Linked DNA regions of Macaca mulatta. The protein of the gene in region 1 purifies or fractionates together with the protein of each later gene. This does not show direct contact. Links are inferred from orthologs where the notes say so. Each region holds a gene or a part of one and is shown in the gene's direction. Other genes may lie near its edges.

What was found.
Region 2: the proteins of BAG6 (region 1) and GET3 purify together in Homo sapiens (co-immunoprecipitation; 5 studies listed by BioGRID and IntAct, with this or other methods). This does not show direct contact. The link is inferred for Macaca mulatta from reciprocal best matches to the Homo sapiens genes BAG6 and GET3.
Region 3: the proteins of BAG6 (region 1) and MAVS purify together in Homo sapiens (affinity purification with western blotting; 3 studies listed by BioGRID and IntAct, with this or other methods). This does not show direct contact. The link is inferred for Macaca mulatta from reciprocal best matches to the Homo sapiens genes BAG6 and MAVS.

Annotation. Positions count from the first base shown.
Region 1 is NC_133409.1:150,677,728-150,681,247, forward strand, and holds part of BAG6 (large proline-rich protein BAG6), read left to right. Parts: intron 1-110; coding exon 111-308; intron 309-518; coding exon 519-771; intron 772-1,089; coding exon of another isoform or gene 1,090-1,116; coding exon 1,117-1,194; intron 1,195-1,304; coding exon 1,305-1,412; intron 1,413-1,525; coding exon 1,526-1,638; intron 1,639-1,742; coding exon 1,743-1,830; intron 1,831-2,903; coding exon 2,904-3,190; intron 3,191-3,520. UniProt on the Homo sapiens protein: ATP-independent molecular chaperone preventing the aggregation of misfolded and hydrophobic patches-containing proteins.
Region 2 is NC_133424.1:13,300,945-13,304,464, forward strand, and holds part of GET3 (ATPase GET3), read left to right. Parts: intron 1-1,063; coding exon 1,064-1,212; intron 1,213-1,295; coding exon 1,296-1,490; intron 1,491-2,893; coding exon 2,894-3,023; intron 3,024-3,113; coding exon 3,114-3,311; intron 3,312-3,520.
Region 3 is NC_133415.1:80,212,062-80,215,581, reverse strand, and holds part of MAVS (mitochondrial antiviral-signaling protein), read left to right. Parts: intron 1-1,616; 5' UTR 1,617-1,683; coding exon 1,684-1,800; intron 1,801-3,520.

The DNA of each region.
Region 1 (3,520 bases):
CTGAAAGTTTTGGAGGACGTGGTATTCTTAGAAGGCATTATTGCTTTCATTAGTGAGATGGACTCCAGCTTGATATTTTCTGCCCTTTTGTGTTTGGCTGGGGTGTGCAGCACGAGGGCCGGGAGGAGGATCAGCGGTTGATCAACTTGGTGGGGGAGAGCCTGCGACTGCTGGGCAACACCTTTGTTGCACTGTCTGACCTGCGCTGCAATCTGGCCTGTGCGCCCCCACGACACCTGCATGTAGTCCGGCCTATGTCTCACTACACCACCCCCATGGTGCTCCAGCAGGCAGCCATTCCCATACAGGTGGGTTAGGGGGAGTCTGGCCTGAGGGAGAGTGAGGAGTGTTGATAGAGTGACCCAGGGTAGCTACTGGGCCTGAAGGAGGTTAGGAAAGGAGGAGACTTTGGAAACATGGTGATGGAGGCTGGGGATACTTCAGAGGTTTATTGTGAGGATTTCTTGGTTAGGCTTCTGTATTTTTCTCACTTCTGCCTGTCCATCTGTCTTTTTCAGATCAACGTGGGAACCACTGTGACCATGACAGGAAATGGGACTCGGCCCCCCCCAACTCCCAATGCGGAGGCACCTCCCCCTGGTCCTGGGCAGGCCTCGTCCACGGCTCCATCTTCTACCAATGTCGAGTCCTCAGCTGAGGGGGCTCCCCCTCCAGGTCCAGCTCCCCCGCCAGCCACCAGCCACCCGAGGGTCATCCGGATTTCCCACCAGAGCGTGGAACCCGTGGTCATGATGCACATGAACATTCAAGGTGAGTTAGAATCAGTTGCTGGCGAGAAGAGTAGAATCAGCATGTTGAGGGAGGTTCATGTCGAGGTATGAGGAAACAGGGTGGGGAAGGGAGAGGCCCATGCTGGTGGTGGTAGCCTGGGGACCAGAGCAGAAACTTTAGTAGATGGATGTGGGGGACGGGTTGCTTTGTTTTTGGAGATGTGTTTGCATGGTGAAGGGAGCACCTTCTCCCTGTTTAGATGAAGGGAAAAGCAGGCTTTCTGATTGGGGGATTATGGGCCTGAAGTATGCCTGATCTCAGTAGGATATAGTTAGGCCTTGGCCCTACCTACCTCAGGGCTACTCTCTCTGTCTCCCTGCCCAGATTCTGGCACACAGCCTGGTGGTGTTCCGAGTGCTCCCACTGGCCCCCTGGGGCCCCCTGGTCATGGCCAAACCCTGGGTAAGAGTGAGGGCATCAGGGCAGGCTGAGCTCTGGGTAGTGAAGGGGAAGGGCTGAGTGGGTGGGTTGAAGGGGTCCAGGTTCAAGGTTACATCAGACCCGCCCCCCAGGCTCCACCCTCATCCAGCTGCCCTCCCTGCCCCCTGAGTTCATGCACGCCGTCGCCCACCAGATCACTCATCAGGCCATGGTGGCAGCTGTTGCCTCCGCGGCCGCAGGTAATGACCTGGAAGGGGAGGCTTGGGAGGTGGGGCACAGTCCGTGGTGGCAGCTGGCTGGCAAGGGCCTGGCCCTCAGCCCTGTTCGGTCTCTTCTCTTCTGCCACCCACAGGACAGCAGGTACCAGGCTTCCCAACAGCTCCAACCCGGGTGGTGATTGCCCGGCCCACTCCTCCACAGGCTCGGCCTTCTCATCCTGGAGGGCCCCCAGTCTCTGGGACACTGGTGAGCAAGGGTTGGGGAGTTCTAGTGCGTAACAGTCTAGGGAGAGACTCCTGTGGTGGTGCATGGAAGGGCAGGTCTGAAGTCCTTCCTTGCTCTCTATCCAGCAGGGCGCCGGGCTGGGTACCAATGCTTCGTTGGCCCAGATGGTGAGCGGCCTTGTGGGGCAGCTTCTTATGCAGCCAGTCCTTGTGGGTGAGTTTTCATTCTTCCCCACTCAGACTTTAAATTCCTTTCCTAGTCTGCTTATTGGCACTTTCTAGTTCTTTCTGTATTTTCTTGGTTCCTGCTTTCCTGGAATAGGGCTGCTATAGTGTCTTGTTTGTCTTTAGGTTTCAATGTTTTTCTTTTTTTGGGGGGGGATGGAGTCTCGCTCTGTCCACCAGGCTGGAGTGCAGTGGTGCAATCTTGGCTCACTGCAAGCTCCGCCTCCTGGGTTCAAGTGATTCTCCTGCCTCAGCCTCCTGAGTAGCTGGGACTACAGGTGAGTGCCACCACACCCAGCTAATTTTTTATATTTTTAGTAGAAACGGGGTTTCACCATGTTGGCCAGGATGGTCCCGATCTCTTTTTTTTTTTGAGACGGAGTCTCGCTCTGTCGCCCAGGCTGGAGTGCAGTGGCCGGATCTCAGCTCACTGCAAGCTCCGCCTCCCGGGTTCACGCCATTCTCCGGCCTCAGCCTCCCGAGTAGCTGGGACTACAGGCGCCCGCCACCTCGCCCGGCTAGTTTTTTGTATTTCTTAATAGAGACGGGGTTTCACCGTGTTAGCCAGGATGGTTTCGATCTCCTGACCTCGTGATCCGCCCGTCTCGGCCTCCCAAAGTGCTGGGATTACAGGCTTGAGCCACCGCGCCCGGCCGGTCCCGATCTCTTGACCTCATGATCCACCTGCCTCGGCCTCCCAAGGTGCTGGGATTACAGGCTTGAGCCAGCATGCCTGGCCAGCTTTTTTATTTTTTTTTGAGACAGAGTCCTGCTCTGTCACCCAGACTGGAGTGCAGTGGTGCAATCCAGTGAGTTATAGCTCACTGTAACCTTGAACTCCTGGGCTCAAATAGTTCTCCCACCTCAGCCTCCTGAGTAGCTAGCAGTACTAGCTTCTGGCTAGTAATTGTCTTTTTTTGTTTTTTGATAGAGATGGGGTTTTGCTATGTGGCCTAGATTCCTGGGCTCAAGCAGTTCTCCTGCCTTGGCCTCCCAGAGTTGCTAGGATTATAGCCGAGAGCCACCATGCTCAGCCCAGCTTTTTTCTTTTGGTTCTTACAGCTCAGGGGACTCCAGGAATGGCTCCACCACCAGCCCCTGCCACTGCTTCTGCCAGTGCTGGCACCACCAACACAGCTACCACAGCTGGCCCCGCCCCTGGGGGGCCTGCCCAGCCTCCACCCACCCCTCAACCCTCCACGGCTGATCTTCAGTTCTCTCAGCTTCTGGGGAACCTGCTAGGGCCTGCCGGACCAGGGGCTGGAGGGCCTGGTGTGGCTTCTCCCACTATCACTGTGGCGATGCCTGGTGTCCCTGCCTTTCTCCAGGGCATGACTGACTTCTTGCAGGTGAGTGGCTGGCTTGCCATTCACCTCACCCTTCCTGTCTCCTGGCCCAGCCAGGCAGTGGTACCTTCTTCCCATTATATAACCACTGGGTAAAAGCCCCTAGTGACACGTGGGGGAAGGGGCCCTGGGAATTCATTGACTCTGAACCCTTCATTTTAAAGATGAAGAAAATGAGGTTTAGAAAAAGAAAGTGTAGTAATTAGTGTCACTGCTTTCTGACAACCTGTTCAGAGGAAGAGGTAGGTAGTTGTGCTGCCTGACTCTGTTAAATACCTACCATATTTCTGCTCTAAGCAGTGAAGATCAGAATGTAACTCTCCATCTTCCCAG
Region 2 (3,520 bases), on another chromosome or scaffold:
ATAGATTCTACATACATGTTTGTGTTTTGTTTTGTTGTTTGTTTTTTGACACAGAGTCTCACTCTGTCACCCAGGCGGGAGTGCAATGGTGTGACCTCGGCCCACTGTAACCTCCGTCTGCCGGGTTCAAGCGATTCCCTTGCCTCAATCTCCAGAGTAGCTAAGATTATAGGCGTCCGCCACTATGCCTGGCTAATTTTTGTATTTTTAATAGAGACAGGGTTTCACCATGTTGGCCAAGCTGGTCTCCAACTCCCGACCTCAGGTGATCTGTCCGTCTCCACCTCCCAAAGGACTGAAATTACAGGCGTGAGCTACTGTGCCTGGCCGGATTCTGCATACATATTGACGACCTCTGTGCCAGGCACTGTTCATGCTAAGTGCTGAGGACACAGCAGTGAGCTAGATGGTAAAACCCTTGCCCTTGAGGGGATGCCCCTCCATCTGCTCTGGAGACAGATGATAAACATGATAAGGGAATCATGAGGGATGTGAGGAAGGGCTAATTTTTCTTTTTTCAGATGTGTCTTGTTATATTGCCCAGGCTGGTGTCCAACTCCTGGGTTCAAGCGATCCTCCCATCTCATTATCCTGAGTGCCTGGGACTATAGGCGTGAGCTATCCTGCCCAGCTCCTAAGGACTAAACCTTAAGGAGAAAGGAAGGCAGGGCAGGGGATGTCAGTGGATCTGTGCTGTTATTTAGGGTGGTCAAGGAATCTCTCAGTGGAGGGATGGATGATCTGGAAGAGGTCATGGCCCATTCACGGGAGTATCTGGGGTCTCAAGTGGCCGGTTACAAGTGGGGAGTAGCAATGTAAATGGCCCGCAGTGGGTTTTGGCTTCCCTTCGAGGGCCCTGGCCACAGCTTGCAATTTTCCCGTTGTTTTTCACCCTTTATGCAACCATACAAAACCCTAAGTGCTACCTCAGGGTCCCCCCAGCTGTGACCTAATGAAACGCCTGTGGTCAGAGCCCGCCACAGGCTCCCTCTGGCCCTGTGCCCAGGTAGGAAGGCTCCCCCAGCAGTAGCAGCAACCTCCGTCTCATCCCTTTGGCCCCCAGGAGATTGACCCCAGCCTGGGCGTGGCGGAGCTGCCTGACGAGTTCTTCGAGGAAGACAACATGCTGAGCATGGGCAAGAAGATGATGCAGGAGGCCATGAGCGCATTTCCCGGCATCGATGAGGCCATGAGCTATGCCGAGGTCATGAGGTCAGGCCCAGCCAGCAGGGGTGGGGGCTGCCTGGGGAAGGGGAAGAGTGGACACAGAGGGCCTGACCCCTGTCTCCCCTCAGGCTGGTGAAGGGCATGAACTTCTCGGTGGTGGTGTTTGACACGGCACCCACGGGCCACACACTGAGGCTGCTCAACTTCCCCACCATCGTGGAGCGGGGCCTGGGCCGACTTATGCAGATCAAGAACCAGATCAGCCCTTTCATCTCACAGGCAGGCGGCGGGGGCCCCCACCTGCACCATCCAGGCAGCCGGGAGTGGGAGTAGGCCCAGGCCCCTAGACCCTCAGACACCTACTAACAATTCCCTTTCCTTCCCACCCCTTCTCTCTCTGGAATTCTCCCTGGAGGGCATGGGAGGGAGCTGTCTTTCCTCCCCCGCAGGCAGGACTCAGTGTCCCTGCCCCTGCCCACTAAATACCCTAGACAGAGCCAGAAAGCACATTTCAGAACCAGGCAACCTGCCTTCAAACCCTCTGCACTCACCGTGTGACCCAACTGCTGTGTGACCTCAAGCAAATCACTTCACCTCTCTGGGCCTCAACTTCCTTGTCTTGCAAATGGAGATCATGAGAGTGCCCCATGGGTTGTTATTATTATTATTATTATTATTACTTTTTTTTTTTTTTTTTTGAGACAGAGTCTTGCTCTGTCACCCAGGCTGGAGTGCAGTGGTGCAATCTCGGCTCATTGCAACCTCCACCTCCTGGGTTCAAGTGATTCTCGTGCCACAGCCTCCCAAGTAGCTGGGGGTACTTAGCAGACGTGTACTTAGCAGATGTGTACCACCATGCCCAGCTAATTTTTGTATTTTTTGTAGAGACAGGGTTTTGCCATGTTGCCCAAGCTGGTCTTGAACTCCTAGCCTCAAGCATTACACCCACCTCGACCTCCCAAAGTGCTGGGATTACAGGCATGAGCCACTGTGCCCAACCCCCGTGGCTTATTATTACGATGACAACCCCAAAGCCCCCACAGTGCTTCACACCACCAGCACCAGCCACCATGGTATATGTGCATGTGTGTACCCTGTGAGGACCTGTGCCTCAGGTGGTAACACTGGGCACTTACTGTGTGCCAGACACTGTTCTGAACACATTATATGCATCAGCTCATCTGGTACAACAGGTCTGGGAGGTAAAGTTTAGAGATGGGGAAACTGAGGCTCCAGAAGGTCAAGCCCCTTAGCCATAGTTCCCTAGAAATGGCAAGGCTGAGGCCGGTGGCGTTGGCTCACGCCTGTAATCCTAACACTTCGCAAGGCCAAGGCGGGTGGATCGCCTGAGGTCAGGAGTTCAAGACCAGCCTGGCCAAAAATGGTGAAACCCCACCTGTACTAAAAATACAAAAATTAGCCGGGCATGGTGGCCCGTGCCTGTAATCCCAGCTACTTGGGAGGCTGAGGCAGGAGAATCGCTTGAACCCGGGAGGCGGAGGTTGCAGAGAGCCAAGATCACGCCACTGCACTCCAGCCTGGGCAACAGAGCGAGACTCCATTCCAAGAAAAGAAGAAAGAAATGGCAAAGCTGGTATTTGACCAACCCCAGGAATCTGCTCACGGGCCTGAGCCTTTAACCGCTGGGAGGTATCAGGAGTCATCCCTCTGGTGTTTAGTGAACCCCCAACCCAGGAGGTTTAATGAGCCCCAGGTAAGCTATGAGTCCTCCCACATCCCCCCTGCAGATGTGCAACATGCTGGGCCTGGGGGACATGAACGCAGACCAGCTGGCCTCCAAGCTAGAGGAGACTCTGCCCGTCATCCGCTCAGTCAGCGAGCAGTTCAAGGACCCTGTGAGTGGTGGTCTGGCTGGCAGTGAGAGGCCTGGGGGCTGAGGACCGTGGCAGAACCCGCCCCTCACTGTCCTCTCTTGTGCCCTGTAGGAGCAGACAACTTTCATCTGCGTATGCATTGCCGAGTTCCTGTCCCTGTATGAGACAGAGAGGCTGATCCAGGAGCTGGCCAAGTGCAAGATCGACACGCACAATATCATTGTCAACCAGCTCGTCTTCCCTGACCCCGAGAAGCCCTGCAAGATGTGTGAGGCCCGCCACAAGATCCAGGCCAAGTATCTGGACCAGGTGTGCCCACCCACCCAGCACTGGCTGAGCAGAGGCACCTCTGCCCCTTTATTCTCTGACCTTTTGCTCCACCTTCTGGCCCTCTGGCCTAGCCTCCTGCCCTTTGCCCCCACATTTCAGATCCTTCACCCTTATTCTGGCCATAGAGGACTGTGGCTGGCCTGGCCTAGATCCCTGTGACCCTGGAGAGCAGGTGGTCTAGCCCAGTG
Region 3 (3,520 bases), on another chromosome or scaffold:
TGGGCGGATCATGAGGTCAGGAGATCGAGACCATCCTGGCTAAAACGGTGAAACCCCGTCTCCAATAAAAATACAAAAAAATTAGCTGGGCGTGGCCGGGCGCGGTGGCTCACGCCTGTAATCCCAGCACTTTGGGAGGCCGAGGTGGGTGGATCACGAGGTCAGGAGATCGAGACCATCCTGGCTACACAGGTGAAACCCCGTCTCTACTAAAAATATAAAAAAATTAGCCGGGCGTAGTGGCGGGTGCCTGTAGTCCCAGCTACTGGGGAGGCTGAGACGGGAGAATGGAGTGAACCCGGGAGGCGGAGCTTGCAGTAAGCCGACACCGCGCCTCTGCACTCCAGCCTGGGTGACAGAGCAAGACTCCGTCTCAAAAAAAAAAAAAAAAAAAAAAATTAGCTGGGCATGTTGGCAAGCGCGTGTAGTCCCAGCTCCTGGGGAGGCTGAGGCAGGAGAATGGCGTGAACCCGGGAGGCTGAGCTTGCAGTGAGCCGAGATTGCACCACTGCACTCCAGCCTGGGCAACAGTGCAAGACTCCGTCTCAAAAAAATAAATTAAAGATGGCTGGGCACATTGGCTGGCACTTGTAATCTGACCTACTTGACAGGCTGAGGCAGGAGGATCGCTTGAGGCCTGGGCAACATCATGAGACCCTGTCTCTAGAAATAATATAAAAATTAGCTGGGCATAGTGGCGCAAGTTTGTAGTTCCAGCTACCTGGGACGCTGAGGCAGGAGGATTGCTTGAGCCCAGAAATTTGAGGCTGCAGTGAAGTATGATTGCACCACTGCACCCAACCTGGGTGACAGAGTGAGACCCCATCTCTTTTTTGGTTGGTTGGTTTGTTTTTGAGATGGAGTTTCGCTCTTGTTGCCCAGGCTGGAGTGCAATGGCATGGTCTCGGCTCACCTCAACCTCTGCCTCCCAGGTTCAAGCAATTCTCCTGCCTCAACCTCCCGAGTAGCTGGGACTACAGGCATGCACCACCATGCCCAGCTAATTTGTTGTTGTTGTTGTATTTTTAGTAGAGACGGGGTTTCTCCATGTTGGTCAGGCTGGTCTCCAACTCCCAACCTCAGGTAATCCCCCAACTTGGCCTCCCAAAGTGCTGGGATTATAGGCATGAACCATTGTGCCCAGCCTGAGACCCCGTCTCTTAAAAAAGAAAAAGAAAAAGAAAAAAAAGCCAGGTGTGGTGGCTCACGCCTGTAATCTCCAAACTTGGGAGGCTGAGGCGGGTGGATCACTTGAGGTCAGGAGTCCGTGACCAGCCTGCCAACATGGTGAAACCCCATCTCTACTAAAAATACAAATATTAGCTGGGCATGGTGGTGGGCACCTGTAATCCCAGCTACTGGGGAAGGAGGCTGAGGTAAGAGTCAATTGAACCCAGGAGGCAGAGGTTGCAGTGAGCCAACATCGCGCCACTGCACTCCAGCCTGGGTGACAGAGTGAGACTCAGTCTCAAAAAAAAAAAAAAAAAAAAAAGAAGAAAAAGAAGAAGAAATTCAAGATGAAAGAAAACAAAAATTCCAAAAAGTTGAGAAAGAATTGCCTTTTGTCCAGCCCCACTCCCAACCCTGTTGTCATGTGTGATTCTGTTTTCTTCCAGTCTCGTTTCCTCTCAGTCCATCCACCCTTCACGGGGCCAGAGCCCTCTCTCTAGAATCTGAGCAGCAATGCCGTTTGCTGAAGACAAGACCTATAAGTATATCTGCCGCAATTTCAGCAATTTTTGCAATGTGGATGTTGTAGAGATTCTGCCTTACCTGCCCTGCCTCACAGCAAGAGACCAGGTGAGCAAGGGAAGTGACAACCGGATACTGGCCTGGGGGCAGGACTGTGGAATTCAAAGCTCAGCCCTATCCTAGTTCCTCACCCAAGCCAGGGCTGGCTCCTTCCTTCTGCCTCTTGCTGTGTCTTGCTCCTTGTCCTTGCTGCTTTTCATTTTTTTTTGAGACAGAGCCTCACTCTGTCGCCAGGCTGGAGTGCAGTGGCATGATCTTGGCTCACTGCAACCTCCGCCTCCCAGGTTCAAGTGATTCTCCTGCCTCAGCTTCCCGAGTAGCTGGGATTACAGGTGTGTGCCACCACGCCCAGCTAATTTTTGTGTTTTTAATAGAGACGGGGTTTCCCCATGTTGGCCAGGATGGTCTCGATCTCTTGACCTCGTGATCCACCTGCCTCAGCCTCCGAAAGTGCTGGGATTACAGGCGTGAGCGCCGTTGCTGCTTTTCTAACTTTTGGATGAAGTGTGGCTCGGGGTGGCATTGCTGACTTCGCCGAACTTCCCGTTGTGTTGTTTTTGTACACTGCTCAAAAACATGGCACTGGCTCTCTGAGATTTCCTGGCTCTGGTCCACTTGCCCACTTTTTTTGGAACCTCCTATTTCCTTCATCTCTCTTGCCCTTCCTTGTCCTGCTCAGTTTTGACTCCATTCTCCTTGTCATGGGGCCCTGTCCAGGCACAGCGCTGGGACTCAGGTTTGAGAGCAGGCAGGAGCCAGGTCGCTCTAGCCCCAACAGAACTTGCTGCAGGCCCCTGGCACTCACTAGCTGGTGAAACGGGCACAACCCCTCCCCGTTGTAGCTGCTATTCTCAGATTGGACCCCTGTGCTCCAGAGGGTACCTGTTGGCTCTTTTGGGGCCTCCTGTCCTCAGATTTCTCAGGAGCCCCATTGCTGTCTCTGGTGTCCTCCCACACAGATCGTGTTAGTATGCAGGTCTGTTTGGGGTTTGCCCCTCCCTCTTGTATTTTGGGGTTTATAGGGATATCTTGTTTTGTAGTAAATATTTTCTGTGGGTTTTATTTTCTTTAAAAAAATTTTTTTTGAGACAGAGTCTCACTCAGTTGCCCAGGTTGGAGTGCAGTGGTGTGATCTCAGTTCACTGCAACCTCCGCCTCCCGGGTTCAAGTGATTCTCGCGCCTCAGCCTCCTGAGTAGCTGGGGTTACAGGCGCATGGCACCACACCTGGCTAGTTTTGTATTTTTTTTTTTTTTTTTTGAGACGGAGTCTCACTCTGTTCCAGGCTAGAGTGCAGTGGCGCAGTCTCGGCTCACTGCGAGCTCTGCCTCCCGGGTTCACAACATTCTCCTGCCTCAGCCTCCCGAGTAGCTGGGACTACAGGCGCCTGCCACCATGCCCGACTAATTTTTTGTACTTTTAGTAGAGACTGGGTTTCACCGTGTTAGCCAGGATGGTCTCGATCTCCTGACCTCATGATCCGCCCGCCTGGCCTCCCAAAGTGCTGGGATTACAGGCATAAGCCACCACGCCCAGCTAGTTTTGTATTTTTAGTAGAGACAGTTTCACCATGTTGGCCAGGCTGGTCTTTATTTTTATTTTTGAGACCGAGTCTTGCTCTTGTCACTCAGGCTGGAGTGCAGTGGTACAATATTTTGTTTTGTTTTGTTTTGTTTCTGTTTTTGTTTTTGTTTTTTTTTTGAGACGGAGTCTCGCTCTGTGGCCCAGGCTGGAGTGCAGTGGCCGGATCTCAGCTCACTGTAAGCTCC